Schizosaccharomyces pombe: one gene and its partner. Changing the gene in region 1 together with any one later gene gives a genetic interaction. Each region holds a gene or a part of one and is shown on either strand. Other genes may lie near its edges.

Region 1 (3,932 bases):
CTTTTGCAATATTAACTTAGTGAATTTAGTAATTGATTCCGACTATTTGGGCGTTCTGGCATAGCACTGTCATCACACAATTTATTTATTTGTCGCGATTACTTAATTAAACAATGCGTTCAAACAAGTATAATTTACAAAATAAATTCTAAATAAAACCATAATTATTTATTAAATGTAGAAAATGATAACTAAAGAAAAGGGTTTAACCGAGAGTTCTTTTTGCCTAAATATGTAAAAGAACGAATGAAAAGGGAGAAAGGAAAGTAAAAATTGAACGAATGAAGAAATAACTCATGCACTTGAAGATGCTTTTACGTGAAATTAACTCCACAGAAACAGCATAATGGTAAATATGAAAAAAAACATGACTTTAGATAACAAATAACCAAAATATTTTGTTTTCTTTGACGAACGACTCAATGTATTTGAGCTAAAGGAAGCAGACAAAAATGCACACAGTAATATCCTAGTGTGCTAATGAAAAATCTAAATGACATGAAAGGCTTTGGCCTTAAAAAAAATTAACAATTTAGGAATATAACAACCCACGTTTGTGTTCACCTAAACGCATCCCACGTTTCGGAGCAGCTTGAGCCCAGCTGTCTCGTCTCCTTAAACCAGCAGTTGGAGTTGCGATTATAGTAGGCTTAGAGGCCGTACTAGCATAATTAGCATACAACGTATACATGTACGTTGGAGATGCAAAGACAGTCGAGGTGGCAATGGGAGGACCTGCAAACGTGGTAAATACGGAATAAGAGGAAGTTTCCCATAGCGGTTGTATGTCGGTCGTAGCAGCAGTAAAAGTAGAATCTGGTCGATTTTGAATAGGTCCTGTACGGAGAACACCGGTAGTTTGAGATAGATACCAATCTCGCATTGTACCTGTAGGCCATACACCAAGAAAAGTGCTAAAACCAGTAAGGGTAGGAACATAAGGATACACACCAAGAGCCATCAAAGACGCATAAATTTCGTAATTATCAAAAGTTCCTGTTAGACCATTAACAGTGAAAAAGTCAGTATAGTCATTAACTATACCACCAGCATATGTAGATTGTGCCCAAAGAAAGTAAAGACGTCCAGCTGGTCCAAAAACCTGAGAAATAGCGAAGGGTCCAGCTTGGGATATAGAAGAAGGACTAGGGGACGTATACAAGACTGCACAAGGTTGAGGAGCATCCATGCTACCACTACATATATAAAAAACTGTGTTGGTTATGTCCTCAAGAGGTATTCCCGTATTAGATTCTTCCCATGAAAACGAAATAGCGGTAAAATCCATACTATCTGTTGTCGCCGGAGTGACGAATCGAATTTGCGCACATACATAATGTATGTATGAGCAGACTAGCAATACTAGCATCAACATGGTGGTTTTCATTAAATTCGACGGCTTGAAGAGACTTTGCAAATTTAGTGGTAAGCGATATATATAAATCGTTGCTCTGACAACAGGGATGTATATCGAAACACCTTATTTGACATGTGTAAACAAATAATCGAGAAAAGTTGGTTTATTGTAAGCTAATAAAAGTGATTTTTTTATTTTTTTTTATTTTTTATTTCATGCAATAAATTTCGGCTTAACTCAAAAATATATATCACGAACAAGCTGGATATAGTTAACACTGAATATGTTTTAACCTGAAACCTCTAATTCAAATTCTCTTCAGTTTAGCAAGTACTTACAATTGCTCTGTAAATTTATGCCGACTAGTTTAAAGGCCAACATCTTGGGAAAATTATTGTAACGTTTGAGAATCTTTAAGTAAAGATCTATTTAAACGATACTGCTATACATTTGTAATATCAAATGCTAGTCTTGTACCAAAAGAATGAATAACATGCGAACTTACTGAATCTATGTCGTGAATATTATGTCTACTCTATGAAATAATTGCGTTAGAGCTGTCAATATATAGGCCCTTTACTACCAGATATGCTTACTGTCTGGCTGTATTCCTAATTCATTCGCAGAAATAATATATCATTTACAAATATCACAGTGGTTGCTCCAAAAGCATTCTTAATAACTGCTCACGTTTAGATTTGAGATTTGAAATATCAGTAGTGGGTACAGATTACACCACCACAATAATTTACCTTTTTATTATCCCACTTTTCATAATGTTTTTCAATATCAAAGCTTGTGAAATTTAATCGTTAATAAATCTTACAGGTCTAAAATTATTCAAACTTGTTTTATTTTCTTATTGGTATCATTTGCAACCTCATGAGTGACAAAGGAGGAAATTGTCCAAGGCAATACAGAAAATTAGGGACCAAGTTTTTTTTTTAGGACGAAAGAAATTCTAAAAGAAAGGAGATTAACATATTTTTTCGCTTTATTCGTTTTTCATAATTTATTCAACACGCGTTAATTGCTTAAAGTCGTTACAGTCAAAAATAATCATAGCATAAATTTTAAACAAAAATGGAAGAAGAAGAATCTTTAGAAGGAATTATTTCTATAGATGAGTCTTTGATAACCTCACGTTTATCGCAAATTCTCGATGATGTTTTAGACGATAGAAGTTCTTCACATTCTGTGGAAAAACTTAAAGACGTCGCTGTTAAATATGTATGTTTAAAAAGATATTGTGACCTTTCTAATTAAAATTCTAGTTGCAATTTTGTCAATTTCAGCCGACATTGCTCGATAAACTACTGAGTAAATACGTTCCAAACTTGGCTAGCTATTTACTGAAAGTGAAAAATATCGGAAAATGTAACTCAATTACCGTTATCCTTTACCAGTTTTGTAAAATAAGAGGATATAAAGCTGTTCGCGTCCTCTTTCCTGTTGGCGTTCAATATATTAAGGAATTATATACATTATTAAATGAATCATCAAATAATACCTGGCATTTTCACTACATAGTTTTACTGTGGCTTTCTCAAGCACTCAATACCCCATTCCCGTTAAATTCATTAGATGATTCCTTGGATGTGAAGAAGACCATTTACACTATAGCAATTAAATACTTAGAAAATTCGGGAATAGACAAAGAAGCTTCTTGTCTTGTTTTGTCCCGATTATTCTCTCGTGATGACGGTTTGGATTTACTTCTAGGCTTTCTACACCACTGTGAGAGTAGTTGGTTTAAGAGAAGTATCTTTTACAAAATTGGGTGTCTTTTTTCCTTATCTTCTTTTCTTAAAATTTGTCCGAGAAATGATTGTCTTCAAACAGTTGATGTTGCGTTTCAGTTTCTGAATGTAGCACGAGAAGATTTAGTTGGACAAGAAAATTCAGCGTTGAGGAAATTATTATGCAAATGTTATACAAGATTGGGAATTGTATTGCTGCCTGTAAATTCATCCCCTAATTGGAAATACTCGATCAGTAACCCAGATAGTTTCTTTCAATTACCTGATGACTCTAACGAAGAAGTACATATATATCTGGAGGTTATTGTTGATTTTTTATTGTCATCTGTAAGCGACATAGACAGTTTTGTACGCTGGTCTGCAGCCAAAGGGCTAGCCAAGATCATAAGTCGTTTGCCCTGGAATTTGGCTGAGCAAGTTATCGATGCCATTATTGAATTGATGACAGAAAATATGTTTTTAAACCCCATAGAAAACACTGTAAACATATCAATTACTTCTCCACTGGTTTGGCACGGAGCTATACTTTTCTTCGCAAAACTAGCAGGTGCAGGTTTAATTAAGTATAGTAAATGTTTACATATTCTTCCATTGATCGAAGTAGTAAGTACACTTTGTTTTCTTATATCATTCTAATCCTTATTTAGGGCTTATCATACGAAGTAAGATATGGAACTAGAGTAACAGGACAAAGCATCAGAGATGCCTCCTGTTATTTTGTTTGGTCATTTTATCATTGCTACTCTAAGTCAGCAATTGAAGGCTTACAAACGAATCTTATTTTATGTCTCTTACAAACGGTATTGTTTGACAAT
Region 2 (3,932 bases), on another chromosome or scaffold:
GTCTTTGAACTTGCTTTGTTGCAACTATGTAATCAAGGATTCCCTATTATCACCAGTTCCCTGATCTTAGTTGACCGTGGTGGATTAGTTTGTCACACTTGACGTGTATTTTTTTTTTCTATTGGTTCAAGGTTTTGGCTTTGGTTTTCTTTGTTTCTTAATAATTTTATAATTGTGTCGAACCGATTAAATAACTTAGAGGCACTTTTCATATATGGTATATACATGGAATTAGTATATTTAAAGAGTTATTGAATATTAAATATAAAAAACTTCTAATGACTAATCGCGTAAACTATAATACTAGAAAAGAGTTCGCTAAAAAGATTTTTCTGTATTTTAAAAGAAGCCGTAAAACTAGAGCATCGATTTTGGTCCTTCAAGTAATAACTTGGCTTTAGACGTTTCCACTTTCCTTTGCATATACATCGATAAAAGTACAAGTAAAAGGGAGTTCAAAGAGACGCTTTTGGTCGTCTCTGACAGTCTTTGGAGAGAAGCTTACATCTCGTTCGCTTGAAGCAAAGACAAAAGTAGACGTATGTACTGGAATTGCGAAGTGGTATGAAATTAAAGCTTTTATATCTAACAGTTTCCAATTATAATGGAGCTTTAATAACATTGTCGCACCTGAGTTAATTGACGATATTTTGATGCCCTTTGTTATGCGATTTTTAAGAATGCCAGACGTCCAGTCATTGATTGAAGCTTCCAAATGGAATTGAATGCTTGGCAACTCGTGAGATTTCCATATTTCCTCCCAGAATGGCTCTATTTTCGTAAGCTCTTCAACATCCTTAATTTCATTATCAATCACAAGCTTCCGGATGCATGAAGTGTAGTACAACTCAGCATCCAAACGCTCATTAGGTGATATATTCACATCATTCAATTTTACAAGAGAAGGAATTCGCGCAATCACCAGCAGTTTAGCTATATCAGTAGGTTTATTAAAATAAGAAAGTGTTATACGCAGGTGCTTTAAGTTTTCTAATGTACGAAGATGATCCAGAGAACGAATATCCCTAATGTTGTTTTCTGATATGTCAAGGAATGTCAATTTGTGTAAAGTGTGTACAGGTAGTTCTGCAACATCAGCGAGGGAGGTAGAAGATAAATTCAAATTGTTAATTCTTTAGATTAGAAACCTAATTCGTATTTCTCAAATATACTTACCCTTGGAACACATCAACTGCATAGCCATCAGCACTATAAAGATTGAGATTATTTGCAAGACTTAACGTTTGAAGGAACTGCAGATTTTTAAAAGATGTTGCTTTTGATAAAATTATTTCATTTGCTTCAAGGTAAAGTACTTCCAAACTGGGAAAAGTCTCTGTAATCCATTGAACATCTTTACTGTTTAGGCCACATCCATTCACTGAAAGTTGTGTTAAATGAGGAATTAAAAGAACGGTATTTGAGCTAATAAAATTTGAAAATAAGTTTGAACTGAAAGAGTTAGAATATACGTGTAGAGATAAACAAAAACACATGCTCTAGAGTTAAATTTCTTAATGAAGGAAGCTGGGAACACAATTTAAGGATTGGAAAAAATTCATGAAACAAATTTCTCGATAAATCTAAGTCGATAACTTCTACAAATTCCGTTAACATTTAGTTGAAAATAAGTGACATACCAGGTAGTATTTTAGAATACTCGTACTCTATTTCAATATCTTCAATCCTATAATTGTCTAGAATAATAACGCGCAAGCTTTTTAAATCTCTTTGCTTGCTTTGGATTTTTTCGAAACCACAGAATTCTACCTGTTTTCCACTTTTAAATTCAACAGAGGAAGGTAGGGGACTTGAATATGAATATTTTTCGTAAAGTGCTTCCAAAAATGTTCTGCATGGATCAAAAGGGAATCCTTTGTCTACAAATATTTTTCCTTCTTTTACAATTCTAATAGTTTAGTTTCTTGTCGTCAATAACAATCTTACAATGGTTTTTTGTTTCTCCAACACGTTTTAACAAACTGTTTTGCATTTACGTTTTTATCAAGTATGACTTGGTATCGATCATTGTTTCCTTCGATGGTTAATGTTACTAAAGTATTAGATATAGAAGCCCTAACCATTCCAGTGGATATATGCATTATTAATCAACGTGGGAAAGAAAATGGATTGCTATAAAAATTTGGGCAGTTTAAGTTTTTTGTTTCTTTCAAATTTTGTCTTTTATCTACAACAAAAAGTTTTAACCGCACTTTTTCTTTGCGACATAGAAGTGTTCAGTACGTAGTGATAATATAGATGGCATCAGATTTGTTAGGAAAATAGTTGGAAATACTGCTTATTATTATACGGGTTTTGATTCTAATGTCGATCTCATTTTTAAATGTGCTGCTTTATTAAGTCTCTCAATGTTAATGTAAATAATCTATTGTTGGCTGCATACCTCGTAAAGTACAACTTGATACCAATGAATATATTAATTATCAAACAATGCGTTTAAATGTATCAAGCACCAAGCACGATGTAGATTGGAAGCAGCACTATCGAGAATTATCACTTTTTTAAATGAACTGTACATAAAGGAAATGTTGCTTTTTGGGGGCGAGAACTCCATCCTGGGAGAATTCGCAATTGTTGATCTGCAACCCATTTGAGACTTCTAAAATTTACCTCGTGAATGGCAAAAAATTCGATCTCTCGGAGAACTTTGTCATTTGATAACAAAGGAAAAGAAATTATCTTTAAAAAACGAATTGCGAATTCAGTTCCCATTTTTTTGCTCAATATCGAAATCAGAGTTCTGGTCCAGTCGCTGCTATTACGGAAACAATCAACAATGTAATCAAACTGAAGCCCAGATAACCGTATATACTTTAAAGCATAACTTAATTTATTTTTTTTTAAACAATAACAAAAAAATCTGGGCAGGTTTTTTGGCATTATTTCGATTCCTCGTTTTCTGTAAAAGTCTTTTACTTCGAAGGAATTCACACCTTGTAGTAATAATAAATTAATCTTATAACGACTAACTTCGTTTAAATTTTTCTTTTTGTTTATATAATAAATACAGGCATTCAAAAAACCTTGATTCTCTTGCATTTCACCAAACATCTTCAAAAGAGAGAAAATAAAATTTTCCGGAATTTGGCCTTTATGCTCTTCCCAATTTTGATTTATTTCTTGAAAAATTAAACGATCTTTAAAGACGACAACGTAATTAGCGAGTACATTTAGCAGGCTATAGCAATTTAACAAAAAAAGCTGACGAATAGGTAAAACATGCTCCAGTAGTTTTTTGCAATCTTCTTTCTTTCTTAATAAAATAAAACGAGAAAGAAAAATTGCTTGTACGTCAGCCAAATCAGATAAATTGTAGTGATCTCGTATAATATGTAAATATGCGGAATAGACCTCCATAGAGCCTTCTACTATATTGGAAAAATTTTTGAAAAAAGAAACAAAAAACTCAATTTTTACCGGCCATCCCTTATTAAATGAGTGAATGAGCCACATTTTAAGAGAGCAGCTATTTTTAGCCGAAAGGAGAGATATAAAGACTTTATCCAGAAACTGTTCAGATGGAGTTATCCTTTCATTATCAATATGCTCCATAAGCTGAAAAAACGCACGTAAACGTAAAAAAATTTCAGCCTTCTCCATCTTCGAAAAAGCAATAGACGGTGGTAGCATAGAATTAGCTAACATGCAATGGCTCGAATTTCCATGGAAAAGACTGTAATCTCTAATGAGAAGCAAGAAAAGTGTGCGGAAATCATTAAAAGTTTTTGAATTAAGTGAAGAGCGAATATTAGCGCTTTTCAGCAGTTTTTCAACTTTGTGGTACGGTCCATCTTTTCGAAAATATATAGAAGAGAATGAACTGTCATATTTAAACAGATCAATTGTTTGCAAAATTATTTTTAAAGAAGATTTTAAGTCAGTTCTACTCAAATTTACAGTAGATACGCAAA

What was found.
Region 2: of alp1 (region 1) and alp21, extra expression of one rescues a mutant of the other (dosage rescue), as found in Schizosaccharomyces pombe (one study listed by BioGRID).

The regions. Positions count from the first base shown.
Region 1 is NC_003423.3:3,355,234-3,359,165, reverse strand, and holds the start of alp1 (tubulin-specific chaperone cofactor D Alp1), read left to right. Parts: upstream 1-2,118; 5' UTR 2,119-2,440; coding exon 2,441-2,587; intron 2,588-2,631; coding exon 2,632-3,720; intron 3,721-3,764; coding exon 3,765-3,932. Other genes in the region: knh1 (KRE9-like protein), read right to left, coding at 533-1,387. UniProt on the Schizosaccharomyces pombe protein: Has a function in the folding of beta-tubulin. Microtubule-associated protein that is essential to direct polarized cell growth and to position the nucleus and septum to the center of the cell during mitosis.
Region 2 is NC_003424.3:2,388,256-2,392,187, reverse strand, and holds alp21 (tubulin-specific chaperone cofactor E), read right to left. Parts: upstream 2,253-3,932; 5' UTR 2,103-2,252; coding exon 1,948-2,102; exon of another isoform or gene 1,910-1,947; coding exon 1,641-1,909; exon of another isoform or gene 1,599-1,640; coding exon 1,499-1,598; exon of another isoform or gene 1,453-1,498; coding exon 1,177-1,452; intron 1,134-1,176; coding exon 398-1,133; 3' UTR 245-397; downstream 1-244. Other genes in the region: protein Cbp8, read right to left, coding at 2,515-3,932.